Caenorhabditis elegans: one gene and its partners. The protein of the gene in region 1 binds, or shares a complex with, the protein of each later gene. Each region holds a gene or a part of one and is shown in the gene's direction. Other genes may lie near its edges. The genes, in order: kle-2, mix-1 and smc-4.

Region 1 (6,592 bases):
TTGCTTCAAATGATTTGAGAATAAACATTTAATTCAAAAAATTTCAGAGTTACAAGAAATCTTTATGCGAATATTCATCTCCACGGCCATACCATGTCAAGCCAAGTCAACTTATTCGATTTAAATTCTCTGAAATTCCATCATTTCAAGGATTAAATATGTCATTAAACTTTGGACCTTCAAAGTTCTTTTCAAAATCTGTCAATTCTACAATTACCATTCTTCTTCCTGTTAATTCATTTGGAATACTCACTACACTTCCAGTTTCAACTCCGAAAAGAGTTACTATAAAAACACCATTGGTTCCTTTGAATTATCACGACGACTTTGAAAATTATGAATTCGACGAGGAGCCAAAGTTTTGGATGCCACAAAAAGGATCATGGGTGGTACGAAATGGACGGGCGGTACAGAAAGTGACACGCCCATCAATTAGTTGGTGCACCTCACACATTCGAACTCCATATGCAGTTATGGCGTAAGAATTGATGACTTTGACCTATGAGGAACTACAGTATACCGTATTCCCTCTAATATTTTTACACCTCTTTTCTCAACTTTGGCAGCTCATATCTCAGTAGTAGTTTGTTCTATAGAAAAGTTGTCAACTGATAAAAATTTAGATAGATGTTTTTTCTGTAGTTTGTAGTTTGTTAATTATTTATATGTCCAAAAAGGAGATATGAGGTGTCAAAGTTGAGCAAAGGGGTGCAAAACTAATAGAGGAAATACGGTATACGGTATTCCTTCCATTTAGGTATCGAAAGAAGAATAGTATTCTAAACGCCGAGGTCAATATTCCAAAACACTCAACAGCTAAATCCATCATTCTAGGTATAAGGAGTAATTGTAGTGGTATGTAATTAGTGTTGTGATTCATATTAAAATCTATTACATTTTCAGGATGTGACATAGAAGTAATAAACTGTCGTGGAATATTTGTTGAGATTGAATTTTCAAATAAAAAAGTAACTATATTTTCCGATTTCGTTGACCGTTCAATAATTGCTGAATTCAAAGCACGAAGAAAAGTAGAATTTGGAAAGTTTTATAAATTCTCAATTCATTTACTGGACTCGCATCTCTTCATAAAATTCGGAAATCATCATGTGATGACTTCAGTGGAAATTCCAGAAGAACAATTAAATAAGGTTATTAAAATAATCAATTGAATTTCAAATATAATGTTTTCAGACAAATAATGACACTTTATTCGTGATTGGCACTGGAAATTTTGGCATCTCCGAATGGGATAATATTTCAACAGATTATTTTCACTGAGGCTGATTAATTACATTCAAAAAGTATTTAATATTGCTTGGGCATGTTTCTATTAAAATAAATGTACCATTTTATAATTTACCACATTATTGGAAAATGTCAAAATCAATTGCCACAAAAAACTAGATTCAAACTTCCGCGCAAATGGTACCGCAACGATGCTCCGCGTTTCGCTAAACAACGCGCGCCTCACGCGCGCAGTTTGAATTGAGAACGTTTTCCTGTTTTCTTTTTTTGTCTGAATTGTGTTATTGTGCTATTTATTATCCCTTTTTTGTACATTTTCAAAATTAAAGTATGGCCTCTGCTGTTGGAAAAGGAGTGACCGCTTTCAACACCATCAAAAACATCATTTCGGAACTGAAAAAGGTCGACAAAACATTCTCCCCGAATTCGGCACAATATAAATACCTCATGGAGCAAATGAAAGCCGACCAGGTTACAACAAGAAGATATTCAAAAGCCGAGAACGAGTCAGAGAGCGTTGCAAAACTCTATTTGAGCTATATTAAAGGGTTCGTTTGTTTTATGAGAATAAGAAAGTAATAATCAATATCCATTCATTTTAGAACCCGACAGCTTAATGAACTTCAAGAGAGATATAAGGGTGGCGAGAAGAGTGTTGAAGAGGCTGCTGCTATTGTTGGATTGAAACTTCCAGAACAAAAGAAACTTTAAAATACTTAAAATTGTTATTTCTTTCTCGAATAGATTAGATTCCTGTTTTCTTTTCAATCAAAATAAAATACTTCGTTTTTAAAATACTATTCAGGTTTTTTATAACTTCCTTATGGTTTTCGTACCATTCTATATCTTTTTTATAGTTAATCATCGCCAGAGCATTGGAATTGTTGTTTCAGGTACAAATGACTAGGAATGCTCCTCCAGGTCAAGAATCGACAGATTTAGCATGGCTCGTCACACCCGCAAAAGATCTTGTCGAGAACTTCTCAATCGACGTGTTGAAAGTAAGGATAATTTTTTTTCACGGTTGTATCTTTTCTTTTTCGGTAAATAAAATAAATAATTGCTCGACTTTCAGGCACTCGCCGGATACCTCGAGGTTATCAGACAAGAAAGTGAAGACACAGATAATCAGGTGGATGCAGCGACAACTTACAGATTGTTCGATTTTCAACGAGCATGCCGGATTATTCAAGGATCGTGTGCCGTATATGGTCGAAAAGTAGATCATGTCTATGAACTGACGATTTCAGTTGTGGATTTAGTCGAGAACAAAGGTCAAGATGATGGAAACACCGGCAGTAGACGAGGAGCTGGAAGACGGAAAAATTTTAATTTGGGATCGACGAATTACGACTTGGCTGATATCGACTCACTGAAACAGGAAGCTCTAGCAAATTTTGAGAAGACAGTAAAAGAAGAGAAAAAATCGATTGATGCAGTGAGAATGGTCGAGAATGCTGAAGTTATAGAGTCTCAATATGAGCGAAAAAGCTGTTTAGTAGCAAAGCCAACCCAGTTCATGTTCAAGCTCAATTACGGCCAGCTCAATCGTACTGATGAACAAATTTTGAATGCAAAATCTCGTCCTGATGTTATCGGAAAAGTAAAAGATTTTGAAATTAAAAAGTCGAAAGTTAAACACGATCAACAAATACTCTACTCCCATGATTGTTATCGTGGAAATTTAGACCAATTCACACTACCTGGTGCTCGTTGGATGCCAGATAATAAGGAATTGGCAGCTAATTTTGGTGTTGCTGATTTGGAAGTTGAGTTAGATTTGGAGCAAGAGCATGAGAAGATCAGTGCATATGGACCGTTTAAGGTAAGTGGTAATAATTCGATGAAACATTTTCAAAACTTGATTTCTTCAGGATCCTCTCTCTGGCCGTGAAGTTGTTCCACCTCCTCGTTGGTTCATAGAGCAAGAAGCAGTTCGTCAAAATCAAGAAATTCAATCTCGTGCCACATCGAGAGCCATCACAATTGCAGCTAAAACTCTTCGAGATTCTCAAGGCTTTGGATCTCAACCAACTCGTCTCTCACAACCATTTGTTGAACGACATCGACAGAGTAATCATTTGAATGATTTCTTGTCATTTGTGGAGGGAAGAGTTAATAAGAATCGCCCGAGCACTCATCTTACCACTGGCTTAGTTGATATGTTCGTTGATAACTTTGGATCTGTTATGCAAAACGATGAACCAAACACTAGTAGAAGACCTGATGAGAATTACGCGCCCATGGACTTTGATGATGATTTTGGTGGTGGAGGAGACGATGACGACGATGATTATATTCGAAATTTGTCCAGAAGGGATGAGAAGCGAGCACCGGCACCATGGGACGAGCTGGATAAAAATCATATTATTTGGTACACGGGAGACGAGAATCTGCCAGGTATTTGTTGAATTAATGGGATTCTTTCGGTATTTTTTAGATTATATATATATATGAGCCGTGGACCGCACCTCCGGCGCGGCCCCCGACTTCTGGAGCTGAAAACCAATTTTTCTGAAACTACCGTAATCATACAGTACTCCTACCGTAATCATACAGTACTCCTACCGTACCACCATTGTACCACTACAGTACCCCGACTATATCCCTACACTAACCCCAACTCACTATCCCTCCAGAAGCTAAAACTTCGCAGACTACAAAGACTACATAGACTACAAGCTATGGACAAACGGAATAAGCGCTTTATATATAGTAAATGATATATTTCAGTCGTTAGCAAGCCGGTAAAAAAGATCACGAAATTCCAACCAAAACCCGCTGAAATGTTGGCTAGGAAGCAACGACGTGAGGAAAAGATCAATAAGTCTCGACGAGACGAGTTCATGGAAACTCACGACTATCTGCAGGATTACTACTATTGGAGAAGTGCGGCTCGTATAAATCCGATTAAGGACTGGAAGATAGAATCACTTCGTACTGCTATTCTAGCCGAGAAGAAACGAAGAATCAAGGAAAAGACTGCAAAAATCCGAGAAGCTCGTATCCAGAATATGCAGAGAAAACGGACAGCTCGTGTGATACCCGTGGAGCAATTTGAACCGGTAACAGAGGATATTCCAACGTCTAATAGAAGAACCCTCGGAGCTGAATGTAAGAAATTTCAATTTTATGAAATTTAAACTGAATTATATTTTTTCCAGATGACGACGTAGTCGATGAAGATCTTGCTGCCGAAGTCGAGCTCTCAATGTTTGGAGGTGGGTTCGATGACGACGAAGAAGACGTGCGGCCACGTGGTGAACGGCCTCCTATGGCTCCAAACAACCTAGAATTCGATGCTCTTCAAACAGATTTTGATATTCCGCCTGCTGAATATGTTCCATTAAGATTCGAGGATATTGATGATGCCGAACTGAACAGTGTTATCAATTTACCTGGAAATTTGCTCATCGACAGTAAGTTATTTGCAAAATTTTATAATAAAATTTTAAAATTAATACTTTGAAATTGTACTCTCTCAAGTCTATCAAGTAAATTTTCTATTTACAGAAGCTTTACCATTGCTCAAGAAGTTTGCTGAAAATCGAACAGATCGCGAACAAATGGCTTACGAGATGGCTAAAGCATATGAAGATGTGGATGTTGCCGTGTCAACTCTACAAGAACATGTTGACAAATGGCATTCTCGAATGGAACCAATCCTCGAAGAAGGAGAAACTCGAAAAGAGTATGATGTATGTTTTAGAGTATTTAATCTTAAAGGTGGAGTAGTGCCAGTGGGGATTTTGTCTAAATACACTTATAGTGATTCAAAACAACCGAATATCATAATAAAACACTCCAAAAAGTTTTAGATTTTTCATAATTTCCGGTCAAAGTTTTGGCAAATTGCCAAAATTTTGAAAAATATGAGCTTTTGAGGTTATTTAAAGAAATGTCGTATGTTTCGACCCCTACAATGTTTTAATACAATTAATTTAAACAAAATTAAAACAATAAAAAATGTAATAAATTTTTTTGGTCGACTTCCAAACATATGAGTGGCAAAAACTGAGTAATTGCCAGTTTTTGACAGTAAATAAAAAAATTTTCAAAAGTTTTATCATGATATTTGGTCATTTTGGAACCAAAGGAGTGGTTTTTAACAATTTCCCCACTGGCGCTACTCCACCTTTAATATTCTGGTCAACCACAGTAATTTGAAAAGTCAAAATGTCTAAATGTTTGAATTTCTCAATTATAATAATTTTCAGGTTCACGCAGTTGGTCGTGCTGTCATTGGCCAATACGATATTGAAGGTGGCACGAAACGTTTACTAGATTTGGTTATGGATCGTCCATGGTACGAAATCAGTCGATACTTCCTTTCGTGCCTCTTTATGTGTAATGTCGGAAATGTCATGGTCAGCGAGGACATGGAACTGCCACTCGAGGAAAGAATCAACTCGATGAAAATCACACTACTCAAAAGAGATATGCATTGTGAAATGTTCAAGGAGGCTGGCGCTCTTGATGCCTAATTTATAATTATTGTTTTTTTTGCATTAAATCTCCCGAAAACCATCTTAATTTATTTAAACATTCCTCATTGTCTCTACTTGTATCTCGATTTCTGGCTATACTTTCATTTTACTGTATCAATTAATTAACTTCTAGATGCCAAGTATTTTTCTTCTGTTCGTTATGGTACTTTACTGACTGTACAATAACTTTTTTTCCGACGAATTACCACTATTTCTTTGATTGTTTTTTAATTACGTCCTTCATTTTTTATTCAATCTTAAAAATAAATCGACTGGTTTTAATATCAAAGGCCCAAATCATAATTCAATTCCTGGTGCGTGGCATATGCGTTCATGAATGCAGCGCCATGTTCCAAAGATTGGGTGACGGATTGAACAACATCTGAAGAAATCATTTTCTGGAACCATTTTGTCAATTTAGGATATTCTTCTTCTCCTGGGAATTCAATTGTTGGTAAATCGACAACTCCATCCAAACTAGCTGACCACCAAATTTTCTCAAAAAATGGAAATGATAAGTAGTCTGGATAACCTGGTTGAGATCCTGAATAGTTTGAATTTGGTCAAAAAATTGTATCGATTAATTGAACTCACCAGCATAAAAATCATTGGCCAAGAGATTTTCAGCTTGTTTCAAAACTTCAAAAACTTTTCGCTGCTTTTCATCTTTCAAAGTTCGGTCTCGCATGACGGCGAAGAGCAATGGAACTGCATGGGCTACCTGAATTGCTTATTTAAAACAAAATAGTTTAGAAAATAGAAAAATTCAAGATCATATTTGAATTTCCTCCAAAATGAATAGCCACGCCCACTCTCAAACCAATCAGAGTTTTGGACTCCAAACACTCATCTGATTG
Region 2 (5,135 bases), on another chromosome or scaffold:
AGGAGCAAAGAAGTAATTGTTTTGTGCCCTCTTAAGTTTTACCTTTTTTGTAGATTTTTTATGTATCTAAAAAGAATTATGTGTATTTGATTGAACATGTGCAAAAACAAAATTAAATGATTAATTTACAACAATAGAATTTTAGCAACATATAAATAAATGAATCCATAAATTTCGAGTAAAAATGAAGAATATCAACTGCTTTGCTCATCAAGAACTATAATCTTCTCACGAGTACATGAATCACAAGCTGGTAGCCGAATAACAATGTACGATGGCTCCTTCTGGTAGACCTTCTTATCACAAATCGGGCAACAAAAGTTCGGAGTATGTACTAGATGTGGTCCGTCGACGACAGGAGCCAACTGATACGACTTTTTCAGAACTGGAGGGCACAGATCATCGTTGGCTGATCGCTTTTGAGCAGCATTTCGAACTGAAGCCATATCCGTCCTCCGGAGCAAGACGGGCGGAGCAACTTGTTGATACTCGTGATCACTTCGGTCTCGCTGGGGTACGAGCATCTGGTCGATGGTGGCGTACGCGAATTCTCCATTCATTAATTGGATCTGAAATTTCAAAGCTTTAAAAAATATACTTTATAGAAGTTTTATGAGCATTTTTCTTCGTTTTTTCTAGAAAAGCTCTGTTTTGATCCAAAAGTTGAAAATAATTACATTTTATCGGATCAAAACAGAGCTTATCTTGCCTAATTAAACAGAAAAAGTAAAGAGTTTCTCACCTTGTACTCCGAATCGCCTCGAACATATTTGACAACCGCATCTTGAAGACGACCATCAGCTGTCCGAATTTGAACGGTTTCTCCAATTATTGGGCTTCTTGTAGATTCTAAAATAATTTGGATAATTAAAATTAGTTCAAATAAGCTTCTGAAACTCACTTCCAGCTTCCAACTGTTCATGATGATGATGGTGATAACTTGTTGATGGAGCCTGATCGTTGTATGCAGAATCTTGAGCTTTTTCTTTTCTAAAAATAATAAAAATATAGTTAAAATTCTACGTGTTGACCTACATGGGCGGTAGAGCAAGTTGCACAAGTTGATGGACATTTTCAGTGCTTAAATTGTTTAAATCAATGTTCAAATTGGCGATTTCGGAGGGGGAAACATAGAATTGCTTCTGTTTTGATGTAATATTGACTCCACCATCATTTGTCAGAATAATATGCATTGCATTATCGATTATCTGACCATTCCCATCATATTCTTCCTCCGGCCCATTTCCATCACCTTCAAATTGATTTTCAATCATTTCGTGATGAACCATGTGATGATGTGAACCATCTTCTATGACAACTTCTTCATTGTGCTCTTGCTCGTTTTGTTTCGCCTGTCGTTGTTGACTAATCGCCACCACAATGTTCAGCTGCTCTTCGGTGAGATGATTAAGCTCAAAGCCTGCTTCTACATCGAAACCCGCTTCGTACATGTCTTCCTGCGTGATTTGAACCATATTCTGAAATATAAATATTCTTTCAATTCATCGAAAAGCTTGAAATACCATAAACTGTTGATCACCATCCTCCACAATCATATCTCCTTGTTCAAGATCTTCCGGCTGCTGCTGCTGCTGCTCAACAATTTCTTCTTCATGCTTAGCACTTTCAACTCGAAGTGGGGCCTGATCCTCGTGGAAAATATGATCTTCATCGGCAGGATATACACCTTCTGGGGAGGATCTGGAAATTCCATTTATTAATTTGAAAGAAAATGTGATTTTTATTCTTACCCAGGAATTTCTTCTTCACGGCCTGTTGTTGGGCTAGCAGGATTTTCTTTTTCGGAATCCATATCTGCAACGATTTTCGTTGTTTAATAAAAATTAAAAAATAAAAATTAATAAATGACTCTAAATTATAGCGAAGGAGAAAAAACAAAGGAGAAAAAAATTACAAAAATCACAAGGCAACTTTTGCGCGTCAAATCTCATACATTCCAGTCCGCAAACACTCTCACGCCACTCTGCACACTTCTCAAAAGACGCGCCAAAAAACATTCAAAGCTCATTCGGCTTTCGAAATAAACATTTTCTCAAACTCGTTATCGACTTATAACTTATTTTTGTTCAAAATCAATTCGACAGGGTGCGCTCATAATGCACATTAAATCCATCCATCTGGATGGCTTTAAATCGTACCAAAAGCACACCGATATTCTCGATTTTTCGCCGACTTTCAACGCAATCACCGGTGAGTATAGTTTTGTGCTGAAAACTAATAGTTTGAAAAACTTTAATTTCAGCATAAAATATAGTATAATAATTGTTTTATTTCAGGATACAATGGTAGTGGAAAATCCAATATTCTCGATTCGATCTGCTTCATTATGGGAATCAATAAGCTCGATAATATCAGAGCAAGTATGTGGCTCTTTCTCATCACAAAATTATTTTGTTGTCATAGTGATACTTACGCGCTTTCGGACTGAAAAAGCACAAGATCAGAGTAGCATAATATTTCTAGCAAAGATTTTTTAAATTGAAATTTAGAAAAAAAAATTAAGTCAAATATCATTCCAGAATCAATGCACGAGCTGATTTCCCATGGTGGAACAAAAGCGATCGTCCAAGTTCGCTTCGACAACACTGATAAAAGATGCTCCCCGTTCGGAATGGAACATCTCGACGAGATCGTCGTTCAGAGAATCATCACAGCTCAAGCAACTGGAAAAGGATGTGCAACGAGTTACACACTGAATGGGCATGCGGCCACAAATGGAAAAATGCAAGATTTCTTCCGTGGCGTCGGTTTGAACGTGAATAATCCACATTTTCTCATCATGCAAGGTCGTATTACTACGGTGCTAAACATGAAGCCGGAGGAAATCCTCGGAATGGTTGAGGAAGCAGCTGGAACAAAGATGTATGATCAGAAGAAGAAAGACGCGGAGAAAACAATGTTTTTAAAAGATGCAAAACTCAAAGAAGTTGATAGAATCTTCCAATCAAGTATTGATCCGAGAATGGTAAAGTTCCGTGAAGACAGAAAGAATATGGTGGAAGTGACTCGTCTCAAGAAACTCAAAGAGAACTTTTCCCGAAAATACGAGGCGTTTCAATACTTTCAAACATGTGAAGCGGTGAAAAAAAGTGCAAAAGAGATTGAAGATGCCAAAAAGGGAATTGAAGATCTCGGTGAAAAGTTTAATCAGCTTGATCTTGACTTGAAGAATAAGGAAGATGAGAAGAAAAAGATGGAAGAATCTCGAGATGATCAACATGAAGAGGCTGCACTTTCAGCGGCTCATCTTTCGAAACAATCTATAATGCTTCAGAAGGAGACTGTCAAAAATCAATTGGTTGAAACAATCAATAAACTCAAAAAGGAAGGTGAACAAATCAACAAAAGCTTGTCAAAAGATCGTGAAGTTCTCGACGCAAAACGAAAAGAACACGAAGATTCAAAGGCGGCTAACTCGAAAGATATTCAAAGTCAATCTGATGATGAAGCTGTAAGTTCGAGAAATTATTCTAAAAATAAAGTTAAAAAAAAACAATTTCAGCTCGTCACAAAATACCGTAATGACCTCGAATCCCTAACGAGAGGAACAATTGCTAATGACAAAGGAGAACATGTGTCGATTGAGAGTGAAATACAGTCTTGCAAGTCGACTGCGTCTCAAATGTCATCTGGGATTACTGCTGCGAAGAAACGGTAACTTTCCTGAGAATTGGAACAAAAAATCTAATTTTGTTTATGTCGATAAGAATAATGACAAAAATTTTGAGATATTTTAAGAAAAATCGAAAAACAAAAAGTTTCGTTTTTTCGCTTTTTGAAAACGTCAATGATAGTTTTTTTGCGGATACTTTCAATGAAATTATTCTGTCGTTTTCTCTTCAGTTTTCTGTTTAAAAAATTTTAAACCAGTTTTATACTATTTTTACATTGAAAACTGGTTTTAAACAATTTTTAAACAGAAAAATTAACATAAAACGATAAAAAATTGACTACAAACGATGTAATTTCATTGAAAAATTGCAAAAATTGAAAGAAAACACAACATCGAAAAAATAATGCATTAATTTGGAAATTCAGTAAATTTAATGGGACAAAAGAAGAAATGTACTTTTTTAAATAGGAATATCATTGAAAAATTGGCAATTTATTTCAGCGGTGAACGTCTACACAACCAAATTAAACATTTGGAAGGCGAAAAAGCTACTCTCTCAGCCAGAAGTAAATCTGACATTGGAAGTGCCGATAATTATCAAAAAGAGGTATCAGATATTTCAATTTTTTTTTCTCCGAAAACTTAAAAATATTCAGGTCGATGAGATCAATAAGCAACTTCAATTATTGGGTTTCAATATAGATGCTGATACGGAGAAACGAGAACACGCTGCAAAATTGCATGAGAGCATCACTAAGCTCAAGGATATGGATACGAGACTTCTGAATTCATACAAGTAAGGTTTTGTGTGAAAATTCATTTTAAAAGAGTTATACCGTTTCAAAATTTAAAAAAAAAAACCTATTTTCATAATAAAACCCGAATTTTGTCAATTTTTCAGTATCGCAGCGAGCGGAACTTGGTTTTTATTCAATTATCGCCTTTTTATTGCATATTTAAATATGAAAAAAAAAAAACATATATTTTTGTAGTATATTATGCGTTTTTTTTTCGTGAATTCAGGTGCATTTTCTGCACATTTTTGGTGAAATCGACCGAAAAGCCATCAACATTAACGAAAAAACGTGCAATAAAGAGTGATAATTTACTACGAACCAAGTTCCGGCCGTTATGACACTGAAAAGTTGGTAAAATTCGAGATATTAGCTTTAAAAAATAGTTTTCTTTCGGAATTTTGAGAAAACTTTTTTTAATTTTAAAACAGTTGTTTTTCAAAAATTAATGCTTTTTTTCAGCTAAAATTTCAAATTTCGCGAATTTTTTTTCGAGAGTTTCGGCATAATCAACTGAAAAAGCACCAAAATTTAGGAAAATTGCGTGATAAACTATCACAATATGCAATAAATTGTGGCTATTTAAAACCAAATTCCGGCCGTTACTACACTGAAAAGTTGGCAAAATTCAAGATCTTAGCTGAAAAAAATAATTTTTTTTAAATTTTGAACCGGCATAGCAAATTTTCAAAACGTCTCAATGATAT
Region 3 (8,270 bases), 3.4 Mb from region 1:
GGAATTGGATATAACTGAAAGAATTGCTCGCATGAATCTCATAGGAGGGAGCGAGTTCCAAATGCAATATTCTTCTTTCCTTACAGCAGTGTCAACGAAACCTTCAACAGATGCTAGTTTGAAAAAGTATTTTATCAAGCACCTTATGCATTTTATTATTCGGTTTTCTGTAGGGAAGCAAGACGACTCGCTGAAATTTGGTGGGCAAAAAATTTGAGATTTTTTCCGCAAACCATGTACGTGCTGCAGAAACTTGATCAGAAAAATCCAGATGGGTTTAATTACACTGATTTTGAGGAAGAGGTTCAGGTAATAATTTAATCTTATTGTTAAACAAGGGAGAAATTTAGTACGTTTAGAAAGTGATCCCAAGGTCCTGGATACAGAACCATCATTCATTTACACTCTTGTCGCTGTTGAATGAAGAGAGCCTTTACGTGAAGTTCAACTTGATAATGCCCTCGGATTCTGAGAATATGAACAGAGTAAGCTATTATATTTTGATTGGTCAAGAAAGTAAATCAATATTTTTAAGGTGAAGGTCAACCAAGTAATTAAATTTCTCGGTTTCCATGAAATTGGAGACTGTGAGTTTTCTATGATCTATCAATATGTTAGTTCAAAGTCCGCTTCAGAATCTACATACAGCATCCACAAAGTGAGAGTTTTTTTAGTGGATTTCTTTTCAACTTCGAATTTTCAGTTCATGTGTGAAGACTTTCCGGGATGGGAGACACAATACAATAACGAAAAGAAAAGCATGGATAGGATCTTTGAGATAATTATTCAGGAGCAAAAAGTAAGAATGATTGAACATATATGAGAAAACATTTCAATGTTTTTCAGTTATTTTGGACGGAATATGATTATCATACATACAAACGCCATGCATACAAGATTGCTGTCCCGATGGTCTTCTCGCTTAACATTGTAGACAAAGCTGTTGGAGTTCGAAGTGATGCTCGCTAGCTAGTTAATGATAGCCCTGTCTTTCCCGTTCAACTCGATCTCTTTGAAAAAAATTCATTAAATCACATCAGAATCGCTCGAAAAAAAAATTTGAAGCTTTCAAGACAATCCCCAAAAAAGCATGCTCAAATCGTTATTTTGGAATCTTCAAATTTTCGGAGCATTTTTTCTTATTACGATGTTTTTTTCCTTAGCCAAATCTGTTTGTATGTATTTATCAGTTCCCGTTGATTTAATGTTTAGTTGGTAGAAATAAATATGAATAAAGTTTTAAGTTTCAATGTTTCGCAGTTGAAGAATTCGTAGAATCCACAATCCATCCTCCAAAATCGGGAGTTATTTTGTCAATGGCCAGTGTGAAGAAGCACGGAGTTTCAGCCGGATGAAGAGATCGAACACGCTGAAATTGAATGAAAATCTTAGTGATCCGAAATAAAAACATACAGCTGATAGCTCTTCGACTTTGCTTTCTACAGTTTTCAAGATCACGACATGCTCTTGATCTTCTTCAATTTTTCCTTGCCATTTGTATCTGAATATCTGGATTCTCGCACAGATTTAAAAAAGATAAAATACTTACACAGATGTGACTTCCGGAATAACATTGGCGCAAGCGGCTAATGCTTCAGTGACAGTTGTTCTGAAATGAAATTATGTTTTGGTAGACAGAAAACAAAAAAATACCTTGCCACAGTCATTGCAACTTCCTTACTCGGAGCTGTCACATACGCGACAACCATTTTTACAGCGGGTGTTGTCATTTTTATTTGAAAACTTATTTTATGTTGAAGCAATTCAGAAATGTTTAATTAATTACCGTACTTCATTCTAGCTCTCGTCGTATAATTAAATGTATGGGTCGCACTTGCGCGTCACGGTGTTTGCACACACTTGTATGCGCGCCAAAATTTTGTTCGAATTTCACCGCCAATAATTGTTTAGCCGCTGCTGTCCCACTTTTTGTTTTTGTTGGGAAATGTCTTTTTCATATTAAGCACTCAAATCCTAAAAATCAACGTATTTTAGGGTTGATGCCTCCGAAGACTTCGGCGGCGCCGCCACAATCAGACGAATCTGATTCTGATTTTGATGACGCTCCTGTTAAAAAGCCGCAGAAAAAGACAACGAAGCCTGTGAACCGACACAAGGAAGGATCAAAGGACCCGGAAGAAGAACTACAGGTATCCCTCTCAGAATATTTAAAAGCAGCAATAAAACTGAAATTTTTATTCAGAGAGCGGTAAATGAAAAATTTGATGGAAGCGACGGAGAGGACGACGACAGTGATCTTTTCTCATTGGTATGTTACTCTGTTTTTAATATTAAAGTCATTACATTTTACAGCAACTGCCATCGCGACCCGATTTCCTTACAAAACCGAATCGGGCGGATCGTTTGATGATTCGCAATGTTGAAGTGGACAATTTCAAGAGTTACTTCGGCAAGGCTTCCATTGGACCATTTCACAAAAGTTTCACATCAATTATCGGTCCAAATGGATCTGGAAAGTCTAATTTAATCGATTCGCTCTTATTCGTTTTCGGTTTCCGTGCTTCCAAAATTCGTTCTGCAAAAGTGTCAAATTTGATTCACAAAAGTGCTGGAAGAAATCCAGACAAATGCACAGTCACTATTCATTTTCAGCGGATCGTCGATATTGTAAGTGAATCAGAGAATCTAATAAAATATAAATTTGCTTTTTTTCAGCCTGGGCATTACGAAGTCGTCAAGGATTCTGAGTTCACAATCTCTAGAACTGCTTTTCAAAATAACTCAAGCTCATATGCTATCGATGGTCGACCGGCAACGAAGAATGAAGTTGAAGCACGCCTACGACGCGTTGACATTGATATTGAGCATAATCGTTTTCTAATTCTTCAGGTAAAAGTGACAATAAAACCGGTAATAAACATTTTTTTCAGGGAGAAGTCGAACAAATTGCAATGATGAAACCAGTGAAAACCACCAAAAGTGAAACTGGAATGGTTGAATATTTGGAGGATATTATCGGAACAAACCGACTCGAGCCCTTTGTTAAATTATTCCAGCGACGCGTCAATCGTCTTACTTGTGATCTTTCTCAACAAAGAATCGCTCGTGATCACGCCAGAAACAGCAAAGTAGCTATGGAGAATCCAGTTAGAGCTGCAATTGAGTTTCTGATGAAAGAAAACGAGGCTACAACGATTCATATGAAATTGGAGCAAAGAAGACGGTAGTTCTGAAATATTCCAGGTTAAAATAACATTTAACGTTTTAAGGCAACGATACCTAGATAAAATTGCTCCAAAACAAGCCGAACTTGACAAGATGAAAGAAGAAATGAAATCGATTGCTGAAACGCTGGATACCAACAAAAACGAATACAAACAATCTGAGGAAGCTCAGAAAGTTATGATTGAAGAGCGTTCGAAACTCGACAAAAACTTTGATAGTCTATCTAAGGAATTGAGCGACTTGGGCACTGAAGAGACTCGCAGGAAGGAGGCTTTGAAAAGGCATCAAGCTAATATTTCAAAGGCGGAAGCTGAGAAGGAAAAAGAGGTTAAAAAGCGATCAAATCTGGAAGCAGCACCCGAAAAGGCGGAGAGAAAAATCGCAAAATGTCAGGAAGAAGTGGAACAGTTGCTTGAAATAGAGAAAACAGCTAACGAGGAAGCCGACAAGAATCTTGATGAATTTGAAAAACGCTCTGAAGCGCCAAAAGAAGAACAAAAGAAGATTCAAGAGACTTGGGCGCAGAAGAGCAACGAATTTAACAAAGTTCGAGGTGAAGCAAGGATTGCACGGGAAGATTTCGAGGATTTAAAGAAGCTCGCGAATTCTGGAACGGATAAGCTTATCGAACTGAAGAAACGATTAGAATCTTCAGAAGAAAGTTATGCGAAAGAGAAGGATGAGTTAGATAAGCTGAAGCCGGAATTTGATTCTTGGAATGATAAGTTAAAACAACTGAGTACAGAATTGCCAACTCTTCGAAATACGGCAAGACAGAAGAATCAAGATGTAGGTTTTCAAAAAGCCTGATAAATTTAAATAAATCCTATTTTACAGTTGGCAAAAACGCGTGATCGTCTCGAAACTCTTCGCCAGCAAAACTCGTCTTGCTCAAGTTCGAATAAAGTTATTCAAGCCTTAATGAAGGAAAAAGAAGCTGGAAGAATTAAAAGTTTTCACGGTCGTCTTGGTGATCTCGGTGTCATTGATCCGAAATATGAGGGAGCGATTTGCACAAATTTCGGGGCCCGTCTCAACTATCTTATTGTAGGGAAAGAAGAAGATGCAAAAAATGTCATCAATTTTTTAGTTGCTGTAAGTTTTATAACCCTCATTTTCTAGGAATACATTGGTTTTCAGAATAAATTACCTCGACAAACTGTTCAGCCATTGGACAAAATTAAGTGTGATAAGAGAGATTTAGCTCCCAATCCGACGAACCCATTACCTGCTCCTCGTCTTATTGATCTGATTGATTGTGATCCTGTTCTTAAACCAGCATTCTATGATATGGTGCGTAGTGCAATTGTGGGCGATTCTACCCAGGAAGCTCAGCGAATGCATAGAATGCCCGCTTGTCGTGGTGTTACCGTGTGCACACTAGAAGGTTCTATGATTCACCCATCTGGATCATTCACAGGAGGTGGAAAAACAGTGAAAGGTCTCATTCTCACGGATAAAAATAAGATGGCTAAACAAGTGACACCTGAAGATAAAGCCGCTGAACGAGATTTAGCTGAAAAACTTGGAAAATTGAGAGATGAAGCTGATGAACTTAAAGGACAAGAGCATGAAGTAAGATATTAAAGGATAAAAATATAAAATATAACAAACCGATTTTTAGATGGACGGACAGCTAATCGAAGCACGTCGCAAAGTCGCTGAAATGAGTAATCGTTTGTCTATTGTGACTTCTTCAGTTCAATCTGCAGCTCCAGCAATTGAAACCCTCAAGAAAACGATCGCAAATCAAGAAAAAGAAGCAGCGAAAGTTAAGGTGGATGCGAAGACATTAGAAGATAAACAGAAGATTGTTGAGGAGCTCGAAAAAAGTAATTTTCCGTCATATCATCATGATTTGGGTAATATATTTCATTTCAGAACGAGATGAGTTGGGCGAAGAAGCTGCGAAAGTAAAAGCTCGTCAAGCTGAAATTCAGAGTAAGCTTGACGGAATCTTCAAGGAACTTGTACAATGTCATCGAGACGAAGCCAAAGAGTCTCTTCAGAAACGTCAAAAACTTGAGAAGGATATCGCCAAAGAAACTGCAAATATTTCCAATTCGGGCAGAAACATTGCAAAGTGCGATGAGAACATTTCCAGACACGATAAAGACATTGAGAAGATGAAGAAAAAGTGCGAAGAATTGATGGAGAAAGCAATCGATGATGAGGAAGTGAAATCGAAGAAAGAAACGGTTGAGCGCTTTGAAAAGCAAATCAAGAAGTTACAGACAAAAGGAGAGGAAATGACGAAGAAACAATCGGAATTGTCAGCTGCAGAGACGAAATTGGAGGGAGAATTGAAAAAGTGCAGTGAGGGAATAAAGGAGTTGAAGGAAAGTATGTTGGCAGATCGATTAAAGGTTGAGGATATTGAAAAGAAGGTTTGTTATTAATAAAAATCTATTAAATTAAATGTTCTTTTTTTACAGCTCGCTGCTTTGAAAGTTAATCGAATCCCACGATTCCAATTTCTCATCGAATCAAGTCGGCCAGAAGATCTCGAAATGCAAATCGATGATAAAATGCCGGTGGTTGATGAAAATCAGAGTCCAGAAGAAGTTGAACGACAAAAGAAGCATATGGCCTGCGTGATGAGTGACGCCGCGTACGCTCTCGAGTTCGAAATGCGACAGAAAGTGTTGGAAAACACTGAATCGTATGAGAATGTCGACGGAGAGGACCGGGTACCGGTCGAGCTTCTGTCCGACGAGAAAATCAACGAGATTTCGAGCCGAGACGCTGAAGAAATGCAAATGAAGCTGAAAGTGTGTGAACAACAAGTGGAAGCATTGAAAGCTAAAGTTGATATCTCATCGATTAAAGCTTATGTTGATAAGGTCAAGCAATACAATGAACAAGTGATCAAGTTGACAATAGCCACAGAAGTACATCGAAAACATAATCAAGAACTTCAACGAATCAAGCAGATGCGACTTGAAGAATTCCATGTAAGAAATCAGACGTTGATAGGTTTCTGATTAATTTTTAAAAAATATTTCAGTCTGCATTCGAATTCATTGGAAAACATTTGGTTGCCGTTTTCAAAATGCTAACTGACGGAGGAGATGCCAAATTGGAATACATTGATAAAGACGATCCATTCCGACAAGGAATCAGTTTTATGGTTCGCCCAGCGAAGAAAGCTTGGAAGCAAATTCAATTCCTTTCGGGTGGAGAGAAGACATTGTCCTCATTGGCTCTCATTTTTGCGCTCCACATGTTCAGGTACTAAATACTTTCTTTAATAATTATTATAATCCCTCGTTTAGACCTACTCCATTCTACGTTATGGACGAAATCGATGCTGCTCTCGACTATCGTAACGTTTCGATTATTGCCCAATACGTCCGACAAAAGACTGAAAACGCGCAGTTTATTATTATTTCTTTGAGAAATAATATGTTTGAACTCGCCAATCGTCTCGTTGGTATCTATAAAGTTGATGGGTGTACTCGTAATGTAGCCATTGATCCATTGAGAGTTTGTGAGATGGCGAAGCAAATTACGGACAGTTTGGGGCAGGCCACGTGTACTCTTCCTGATGAAGTAACTCAACGATTCAATGAGACAATGAGTCGGCAGAATAAGGAAATGATTGCACAAGAAAAACAATATCCGAACTTCCCATCATCAAATGAGATTTCAAAGGCCGAAAAGATTGTTAACGTTGAAGGACGTGTCAGGAAAGAATTGATTCAAACTACCCGAGATGTCACTTCAAGACCACAATCCAAAGCAACGACAAGTGGCGATGGAACTGAAAGACCGGCTAGTCGGTCAGCAAGTCGACCCGAATCTCGTATAAATCGTAAGACCAATGGCGTATTTATTATGAAAATGAAACAACTTATTTTTAGAAATGAAATATCCTGCTCCACGCCTTGTCGAAAGATCGTCGTCACAGAATGTTCGTAGCCCGAGAAAGGCACGAAACATAGAGGCCGATGAGGTTAGTTTCATTAAAAAATTTGAGACTCATTTTATTTCCCATTTTCAGACTACTCCACCTTCAAAGCGTTCAAATTCCGCAAGTACACCAAAACGATCTCCAATGAAACCGTTGACACCGTCGAGTAAAAAGAAGGAGAAGGCAATCGTTGATGACGATGATGATATGGAATAATTCATTCAAAAAAGTTCTATCCTCTTTTGTTTTGACGGGTATTAGTTCTCTGATCCCTCGACTCTTCCGTTTATTATTATTTTAAACTCGCGCAAATGATACTCATGTGCAATTCTTTAACCTCTCCCTGTTCAAGAAATCTCTCCCTTTTCCTTTTTATTTATTCTTATTCTCAATTATATTTAATTTGAGGGCCAAAGTTTGAGCCATTTTGCGTTGTATTTTTTTTTCGGCTCCAAACTGTAATTTAATGATATAATTGAGCTATGTGTCTTTTCGTTTGAAATAAGAACGTTTATCGGTGAAGCGTTGACTAGTATATCCCTCATGGTTAATCTGATTCAGATTTCCATTTTCACTATTTATTTTGTGGATTTTCACTGTAACTCGTGTTATGCATGTAATTTCAGATATGTCTACTTCTTCACATACCGTACTTCTGATTCAAACATCACCACGTCTTGATTCACGGACTTGGGGAGATTATGAGAGTGTAACTGACGCTCTTGATGGTAACCATTCCGTGAGAATTATTATGTTTAATGGAATTTTTCAGCTCTTTGCAAGATGTTTGAAGATTTCCTTTCCAAGAAATCAGCTGCTCCAGTCACATACGACGTGTCGCAAGTCTACGAGTTTCTCGATAAGCTCTCCGATGTTTCTATGATGATCTTCAATCGCGTATGTATTATTGATCTGCATATCCTCCCAAATCAATTCATTTTCAGGAAACCGGGCAATACATTGGTCGTACACGTGCATGGATCAAACAACAAGTCTACGAGATGATGCGTGGTCGTTGTCAGCATCCGGAAGGTGGAGAGAAAGTCATTGTTGGGTATTGATTACATTGGAAATATTATTCTCATCTCGCTCTGATCTTCATGTGCTCGCCGGTCTTTTATTTCTTCTTCCTTTTCAATGATTCTTGCTCAATTTACAATTCGATTTCAAT

Evidence for each region.
Region 2: kle-2 (region 1) and mix-1 share a complex: the UniProt entries of both Caenorhabditis elegans proteins name them as parts of the condensin II complex.
Region 3: kle-2 (region 1) and smc-4 share a complex: the UniProt entries of both Caenorhabditis elegans proteins name them as parts of the condensin II complex.

Annotation. Positions count from the first base shown.
Region 1 is NC_003281.10:7,939,576-7,946,167, forward strand, and holds kle-2 (Condensin-2 complex subunit kle-2), read left to right. Parts: upstream 1-2,141; 5' UTR 2,142-2,147; coding exon 2,148-2,249; intron 2,250-2,323; coding exon 2,324-3,073; intron 3,074-3,122; coding exon 3,123-3,648; intron 3,649-3,981; coding exon 3,982-4,362; intron 4,363-4,412; coding exon 4,413-4,667; intron 4,668-4,761; coding exon 4,762-4,946; intron 4,947-5,465; coding exon 5,466-5,732; 3' UTR 5,733-6,018; downstream 6,019-6,592. Other genes in the region: C29E4.10 (Putative galactocerebrosidase), read left to right, coding at 48-478, 758-855, 904-1,151, 1,195-1,281; C29E4.12 (Protein FMC1 homolog), read left to right, coding at 1,579-1,796, 1,851-1,959; gsto-1 (Glutathione transferase omega-1), read right to left, coding at 6,020-6,279, 6,330-6,456. UniProt on the Caenorhabditis elegans protein: Regulatory subunit of the condensin II complex, a complex that seems to play a role in prophase chromosome condensation and in chromosome segregation in mitosis and in meiosis.
Region 2 is NC_003280.10:10,822,267-10,827,401, forward strand, and holds the start of mix-1 (Mitotic chromosome and X-chromosome-associated protein mix-1), read left to right. Parts: upstream 1-1,979; 5' UTR 1,980-2,117; coding exon 2,118-2,211; intron 2,212-2,297; coding exon 2,298-2,381; intron 2,382-2,540; coding exon 2,541-3,472; intron 3,473-3,523; coding exon 3,524-3,675; intron 3,676-4,135; coding exon 4,136-4,241; intron 4,242-4,290; coding exon 4,291-4,430; intron 4,431-5,135. Other genes in the region: ech-4 (Delta(3),Delta(2)-enoyl-CoA isomerase), read left to right, coding at 1-16; R06F6.12 (uncharacterized protein), read right to left, coding at 195-569, 743-849, 902-990, 1,036-1,478, 1,524-1,701, 1,752-1,813. UniProt on the Caenorhabditis elegans protein: Essential protein required for both chromosome condensation and segregation and X-chromosome dosage compensation depending on its binding partners.
Region 3 is NC_003281.10:4,585,506-4,593,775, forward strand, and holds smc-4 (Structural maintenance of chromosomes protein 4), read left to right. Parts: upstream 1-1,995; 5' UTR 1,996-2,000; coding exon 2,001-2,150; intron 2,151-2,203; coding exon 2,204-2,269; intron 2,270-2,313; coding exon 2,314-2,628; intron 2,629-2,676; coding exon 2,677-2,850; intron 2,851-2,891; coding exon 2,892-3,184; intron 3,185-3,230; coding exon 3,231-3,975; intron 3,976-4,023; coding exon 4,024-4,281; intron 4,282-4,326; coding exon 4,327-4,761; intron 4,762-4,810; coding exon 4,811-5,018; intron 5,019-5,067; coding exon 5,068-5,573; intron 5,574-5,621; coding exon 5,622-6,140; intron 6,141-6,193; coding exon 6,194-6,417; intron 6,418-6,461; coding exon 6,462-7,000; intron 7,001-7,049; coding exon 7,050-7,141; intron 7,142-7,189; coding exon 7,190-7,315; 3' UTR 7,316-7,619; downstream 7,620-8,270. Other genes in the region: F35G12.5 (SPK domain-containing protein), read left to right, coding at 2-126, 174-309, 360-485, 536-658, 704-799, 847-969; F35G12.7 (Divalent-cation tolerance protein CutA), read right to left, coding at 1,247-1,369, 1,414-1,501, 1,550-1,609, 1,654-1,730; erh-2 (Enhancer of rudimentary homolog 2), read left to right, coding at 7,728-7,827, 7,872-7,996, 8,044-8,160. UniProt on the Caenorhabditis elegans protein: Central component of the condensin I complex, a complex required for conversion of interphase chromatin into mitotic-like condense chromosomes. The condensin I complex introduces positive supercoils into relaxed DNA in the presence of type I topoisomerases.